Mus musculus: one gene and its partner. The protein of the gene in region 2 purifies or fractionates together with the protein of the main gene of each other region. This does not show direct contact. Links are inferred from orthologs where the notes say so. Each region holds a gene or a part of one and is shown on either strand. Other genes may lie near its edges.

Region 1 (3,748 bases), on a different chromosome or scaffold from region 2:
TGGGGAAACATGACCGGGATATAGTGTATGAAAAATTATTTTCAATAAAAAGAGTTAGCGGTAGAAACATCAACAAATATTTCCAAAAAGGCCATTTGTACATAACCAAGGCACAGTACCCTCAGATTCTACGTTGCTCTAGTACTAGTGTACTAGTGTAGTTTACTCAAATCTCCTCAGTTGCTTGGTTGTGTTCAATAGCCCTTTTGTTTTATCCACAGTCCAACTGAGACTCACAAAAACACTTTAGCATTACATCTTTTTGTTCTTAAACCCTTTTCTTCATCTTTCATGACATTGAAGATTGAGCAGTTGCTTCGCAGAACGTCCCTTAATTTGGATTTGCTTTCTCGCCCATAGACAAATTACATGCTTTGTTAAGAATACTGACTCGTGGGCTGGAGAGATGGCTCAGCCGTTAAAGGCTAGGTTCACAACCAAGAATATAAGAATATCGACTTGTGTCCCTTTCTGTGAATGACAGGGCACCTGAAGTTAGCTTTAGTCACTTGGTGAAGGCGATTTTCTGGCTGTGAAGGTCCTTTCCTCTTCAGTAAATAATCCGCGGAGTGAGTGAGTCCTGGGAACCATCGGGATCTCCTTAACCGTTTGCTGGGGAATCGGTTGTCACTAAGGTGGCTCTAAAGCAGTGGTGTGTTCCTTGCACAATTCCTGCGACATTGATTTCTCTTCTAAGAAGAGCTCTCTCTCCATCCTCTCTCTCTCTTGAATTAACTTGCATGCTCTAGAAGCCCGCAGTCGCCTAACCTCTAGGGCCTGGGTTTTCTCTCATCGTTCCAACTGAGAAGACTCACATTTTAAAATTACAGTTGACCTGGGACGAAGTTCCCATAAAGACCTGCAAGTCATCCACCATAGAGAGGGTGGCAGGGTCTGGGAGCGACACTCTGGCTGGCAGCTCGCGTCCGCAGAGCCCGCCCTGGGTCTCTGCTGGCGCCCTGCCCGCCCGCGCCCCTTCAGGGGACAGTAGCTACGGCTTTGGCACATTCTCGCGAGAGCCGCGCCTCCCGGCCCAGCAAAGGTCCTCAAAGGCCTTTCGGCCATTTCCACACCACCCCGCGCCGGTCACCCGCCAGCAGGGCCCCCACTGCGCCCGCGCACTCGCCCGCGCACGCGCAGCCGGACAGTTGGCCTAGGCGCCCGCCGCGGGGCCCCTTGCACGTCTGGTCTGAGGCGCGGCGCCGCGCCGCGCGCACTCGCGCTGGGGGACGACGGGCGCGCAGGCGCACAGGCGCGGCGGGGGAGCGAGGTCGCGCAGGCGCAGACGGCGTTGGTTCGAGAAGACCTTCAGCGTTGCCTTGGTGGAGCGGGACGGGCCCACCCTCGGGTTGTAGGTGAGGCGACCGCTGCCGCGGGCCGGGTGGGCGGATGGCCGGCGGGCCTGAGGAGCCGGCCGAGGCCACGGAGGAGGAGCTGAGGGGCGCCGACCTAGGGCGAGGCGAGGCAGGGGAGACTCCGCTGCCCGGACCCTGTTGGTCGCCTGAGGGCGGGAGTCGCCGCCCTGGGCCGGCCGCGACCTTCCGCCGCACCCGGCGTGCGCACTGGCGGTCTGCCCGGGGCCAGGCTGGAAGGCGGGCGGTTTCTAGAGAGGACGAGTCCCGGAACCCCAAACCTACACCCGACCCTGTCCTCACCCCGCTGTCTGGTGTGTCCAGCACTTGTCAGGCGTGTCTTGCACTCCCGACGGCCGAAGGGTGGATGCTCTTCATGCATCTTAAAAAGCAGAAACAAGGAACAAAAGAGAAGCTGTCTCCTCTAGTTAGTGCCTTTTGTCGTCCTCTCAGGCTCTAATGCAGCCTCAGGGCATGGTGCATAGCTGTCTTGTAGCGCTAAGATGATTGTGAGGTTGTAGCTTGACTCTCGAGTAACATGGAGTCCGGGTTTTCTCGATTTTTTTGCTTGATCATACCAGCAGTGCATTTCCCATTAGAATCATGGGTCCGAGTAAGGGACAGTTTGGGCATGAACGACTTCAGTTATCCACTTGACTTTTGCAAAGTGATGATTTTTGAGAAACAGTGGATCAAAAACGCTAAACGCAGCTTGTAAATAGCACTTAGACATTTCGACCACCTTGGTTTATTTTCTCCCTGATCAGTATGAAAACCTAAAACTGTATAAACGTTTCTGTCTGAATACGTAAGACCTGTGTTTCCTCCCTCCTAGAATGATGGCAAAAGATTTACATTACTACCGGGACTGTAAAATTACCCTGCTAGTGGACTCCAAACTCTGTAACATAGAGCAGAATTTTATTATAGATTGATGTAGAACATCAATACCACTCATTTGCCTTGACTCCTTAACTTTTCCTTTTGATTGATGCCTTGGATAAAACCCGTGGCATCAATTATAGATCCTCTTCTATGTAAGATAAGTGCTTTACCCATACGCCATCCCCATTTCTCTATAAATTTTGGGTGTGTGTGTGAACTTGTTTATGTGGTGTATGTACACGTTTGTGTGCACATCCGTATGCATGTGGAGTCCAGTGGTTGATGTTGGGTATAGGTCTCCTCACTGAACTGAGAAGTCTTCCTGTCTCCGCACTTTCCCTACCCCAGTGCTGTGTGGGTCCTCATATGCAGTTCCTCATGCTTGTGTGACAGACACTTTGCCAATTGAGCCATCTCCTTTGCCCCGACTTTATATATGTTTTTTTTGTATGCTCTTTCCTCTTAACTTTATATCATAGTGTGTGCATGTGACAGGTACAAATTTTCAATGACTTTCCAGTTAGGACATAAGTCTTGCTGAATATGGTGGCACACAGCTATAATCCTAGCTCCCCGGAAGCTAAGGACTATCATATGTTGAGAGAGGTCAACCTTGCTACACAGTAAGTTTGAGGTGAGCCTGGGCTATAAACCAAGGCCCTGTTTATTTATAGGCAAAAGCCTAGCAGGAATTGGATTAAGAGTTGGACTGACTGAGTATAAATATACAGGGTAGTTATTTAAATGATTTGCAAAGTGTCCATAGTTCAGGCATAGTGATCGTAACTGGAAGATGTGTTCAACCTGTTGATCTGACACAACTTCATCTACAAAGTTCATGGTCAACAACTTTGTCATCTATTAAGGTCACGCAGTCAGGCTTTTTTTTTTAATTTTTATTTTTATTCAGAGTCTCATTATGTAGCACCTCTAGCTTGCTTCAGATGTACAAATTGTGTCTGCCTCTGCCTCTGAGTGCTGGGGTTGAAGTCACGTTTCCCCATATCCACCCTGTGTTTTGTTTGTCTTTATTCATGTATATATTTCATGTGTGTTGCACACTTGCGCTTGTGCACGCTTTTGCTTCTTCTGCCCCTGTGTGCCGGTCAGAGGATGACTTAGGGGAGTTGGTTCAACCAACCATGTGTTCTGGCATCAGAATCAGGTTGTTAGGTTTGGTGATTTGTACCTCGTTGAGCTATCTTAGCCCCAAATTAGAGAGTTAGTTTGATGTGTTTAGATGCCTGCATGCCACTGGCTGTGTCAGAGGACAACTTGTGGGAGTTGGTTCTCTCCTTCCACCCAGTGTGTCTGAGGGACAGAACTCAGGTCCTGAGTCTTGGCAGTTAGTGCCTTAATTCCACCTCACTAGCCTCAAATCTCCTGTTTACTTTTTTGTAGATAGAGTCACATTCATAGGTATCCTTGGCTGCATGTGGCCCCCAGGTGGGAGTGCCTGGAAGCTGACTGGTACTTTGGAATTTTCTGGTGTCATAAAATCCCACTAATGG
Region 2 (3,648 bases):
CCTCACTCACCTGCCCTGTCTGGGCCTTGTCTGCTTCCATTAGCTTCCACGTCTCCTCCTTAGCTCCAGCCTTCTGCAGTTCGGCTATGCTGCTGTGTTGCTGGCTGGTATCCCCACTGTGGGAAGACGAGTTGCTGAGATGCCTGTTACCAAGGAGAGTAGGGAGCCAGTCAAAGAACCTTAGGGAGTGCGAGCTCACACATAGCTGTGCTCCTGTGTTTCCAGGGACAGGGATGTGTATGTCACGAATGAGAGCTGCTGTGGTGCGTGTGAAGAGGAAACAGAAAAATCTTTCATGTAAAGAAATTATTTGGGAGCTGTAGATGTAGCTCAGTTGGTAGAATGCATGAAGCTCTAGGTTCAACTCTAGCACTGGATAAAGTAGGCATAGCGGCACCACACCTGTAATCCTAGCATCAAGAAGATAGAAGCAAGAGGATCGAGGACCGGGCATTCAAATTCATCCTTAGCTATCTATTCAGTCCAAGGCCAGCTTAGGATACATAAGACCCTGCCTCAAAAACAAAAACAAAAACAAAAACAAAAAACAAAAAAAAAAACAAAAAAAAAACAAAAAACAAAAAAAAAAAAACCCTCAAACTAAACCAAAGCAGTCTTCTGAAAGCAGCATAGATAAAGCTTAGGGTCACTGGCTCAGCACTGGGCATCTCTAGAGCTGCAGAACTGGTAAGCCTCTGTCTGTCTGATGTGGATCGGAACAGGCTAGCAGCAAGCTAGAGCCCAGGAGACTGTAGGCCTACAAATGTGCCTAGTTCCCAAAGCAGTATCACCATTAGTGTGACTGTCTGTGATCATGTGCCAGCTCACAAAACCCAACATGTCAAACCCTGTATCAGCTACCTGAAGAAAGACACAAATCATATGGGGGTGGAGGGCAAGTTTCAGAAGCAGGAACATACAATTCAAGGGCAGGCCTGAATGAGTTATAGGTCAGTGCTGGTCCTTCCTGGGAAGGCTCTCGAAGGATGATGAGGCAGGCAGAATAGACAGGAATTCCAAATTCCTGGGAGCTATGGTGGTAGAGTGAAAGGCCACCAGTCCCTTCTCGGATCCCACAGATCCAAGAAGGAGCAACTCAGGGCCGGGCAGGAGCAACTCAGGGCTGGGCACACACACACATACACACACACACACATACATAATGCTTACCTCTGCAGGTGCTTTCCTACGGTGTCTGTCACCAGCATCCCATTTTCCACCGGCTTTGACTCCTTCCCTGAACCACTGACACCTGACAGAAGACAGGCAGAGGGAAGAATGTGGCATCAAGAGCTGGGCAAGAACAAAAAAGGCCAGGAACCCAGTCACTTCTACAAGAGACAACTGCGACTCTGGCTACCAGGGAGCTTGGGAAGACAATTGTATTGTGCTGAGATCCACCTAAACCTCAGGACTCCAGGAAGGTGAAAAGTTCTACTGACTGTTTAGCTGGGGCAGGCAGCACCAGGAGCCATGGGTGAAATACAATCACCCATAAGCAAGTTCAGGTTCCTGGGGGAGATGCTGGAGCCAAGGCAGGGAGGAGAGGCGGGAAGAGCACTGGACTCTAAGCACCCAGTAACCGCTTAACACCAACTCTGCTCCCATGTGATGTCAGGCTGTCACAGGAAAAGGGAAGATTCAAAGTTAAAAACCAGCCTGGGTTACATGTTGAGACCCTGTCTCAAAAACAAACAAATGTCAACCATTGTGACAATGGCATCCACCATAGGCAAAGGCCCAGAGGCCCTTAGTGCCAGAGCTCACACCCTCCAATTACAACGGCGATGCCCAGAGTCTGAGGAAGCAGGCCTGATACAACACCCATGTCTCCAGTAAGAGGGTTTTGATGTTTGAACAACTGGTGAGACCACATGGGAATCAGCTGCTAGACCTAATCCCAGAAGGATCTACTAGGTGTCAACAAGATCAGAACTAAATGTCACTTGATGGCGATTAGGGGCACCACTGTGCCTCCTGCTCAACAGCCACTAATCTGGATTCCCACCCTACACTGTCTCCTCCATTCTTTCATATTAACAGAAGAAGACAGAGACAATTAAGGTATCCAGGACTGCAGCAGGAGAGAGAGAGAGAGAATATATGTGTGTGTGTGTGTGCGCTCGTGTGCACGCGCAAGACAAAGGCTGCTCACAAATAACAGCTGGGGACTCAAAAAGAATGACACACAGACCAACACCAAATGCAGAGCCAGGTTCCCTCATGACAGTCCTGAGAGCTAGAGGGATGAGGGTCCCAGGATAGTTGTTGGGATGGGGTAGGGCTCCAAGCTGAGTTAGTCTTAGGTAACAAAGAGTCACTCTGAGGTGGGAGTGGCTCTGTAAATGAGCAGATACAGCAGGATCCTGCCTGGATCCTTACAGAGATTCAGTTCCTGCAGTCAAGAATCCAGGACTGTGGGACTGAGCTTTCACTTAGCTGTGTGCCCTGAGGAAATGCAAAAGCCTCTAAATGGGAATGCTGCTGACCTCCTATGAAGCCGAGGCCGAGGTGACATCACGAGGTTCTGCTTGTATGAACATCTGTAAATGTGTTCCAGGTAATTCTAGACCTGGCTGGGATAAGACTCACTCCTTTAAACAAGACCATGAACATCGGTGTCTATGTTTTCTTTAGTATGCTGTCTTGTAAGCACAAATGTTTGAAGATCAGTGTCTGTATTTTAGTATGTTATCTTATGAGCTGACATGTCTGTAGTAAGAGGTTTGGCTTCTTTTAAAACCCAGTTATGTTCTACAAATACATTTTTGTTTTAACCCCAGGTGTGGAACATGGGGCTGCTTCAGTTTGTCTACAGCCATAACTATGACTGACTTGTGCTCTAGGAGGGGCATAATTTTTACCAGATGCAAATAGTTTAATTCTGGGGGCTCTGGAGAGGGAATAAATGCTAGAGCTCCAAGAGGGGTAGGAGGGGCTCATAAGAAGGCAGCAATTGCTCTTGTCATCACTGCCACACACACACACCTGCCCCACTGCAGTTATGTTTGCTATTGGTGGATTGCTAAATTGCTGGTTTGTAAAACTACTGGATATTGTGTCGAAGATTGAAGTTGCTCCTAATCAGCAGGAAGTAGCCTATAGAAGTCTAGACCCTCTTTCTCTCCTACCTAATGTTGAGGGGTTGGAAGAAATTAGGGTAAAATAAGGGTTGGAAGGTAGAGGTTTTAGAACCCAATAAAATAATTTTAAGAATACACCAAGACATTTCTATGTGTATGCACATGGACAGAGGTTACAACATCTCAGCACTCGCTGTTTCTTGGGTCCTGTCCAATTTGAATTCTGAGACAGGGACACCCCCATCCTGGGGTCAGTGAGACCCAGGACCTGCCTACCTCCACTTGTCTAGTGCTGAGTTTATAAGCACACACACACCTGATGTTTTACATGGGTCCTGGGGATCTGAATCAGGTCCTCACACTTTTAAGGCAGTGCCTCACTCACTCACTTTTATCTCCATAACCCAGCCACTGCGGCTTGGCGCACGCCTTTAATCCCAGCACTTGGGAGGCAGAGGCAGGCGGATTTCTGAGTTCGAGGCCAGCCTGGTCTACAGAGTGAGTTCCAGGACAGCCAGGGCTACACAGAGAAACCCTGTCTCGAAAAACAAAAAAAAGAAAAAAG

What was found. The genes of interacting proteins can lie anywhere in the genome.
Region 1: the proteins of Abcc1 (region 2) and Vdac3 fractionate together in Homo sapiens (co-fractionation; 3 studies listed by BioGRID). This does not show direct contact. The link is inferred for Mus musculus from reciprocal best matches to the Homo sapiens genes ABCC1 and VDAC3.

The regions. Positions count from the first base shown.
Region 1 is NC_000074.6:22,591,291-22,595,038, reverse strand, and holds the start of Vdac3 (voltage-dependent anion-selective channel protein 3), read left to right. Parts: upstream 1-1,225; 5' UTR 1,226-1,355; intron 1,356-3,748. UniProt on the Homo sapiens protein: Non-selective voltage-gated ion channel that mediates the transport of anions and cations through the mitochondrion outer membrane and plasma membrane.
Region 2 is NC_000082.6:14,455,492-14,459,139, reverse strand, and holds part of Abcc1 (multidrug resistance-associated protein 1), read right to left. Parts: intron 1,253-3,648; coding exon 1,171-1,252; intron 144-1,170; coding exon 11-143; intron 1-10.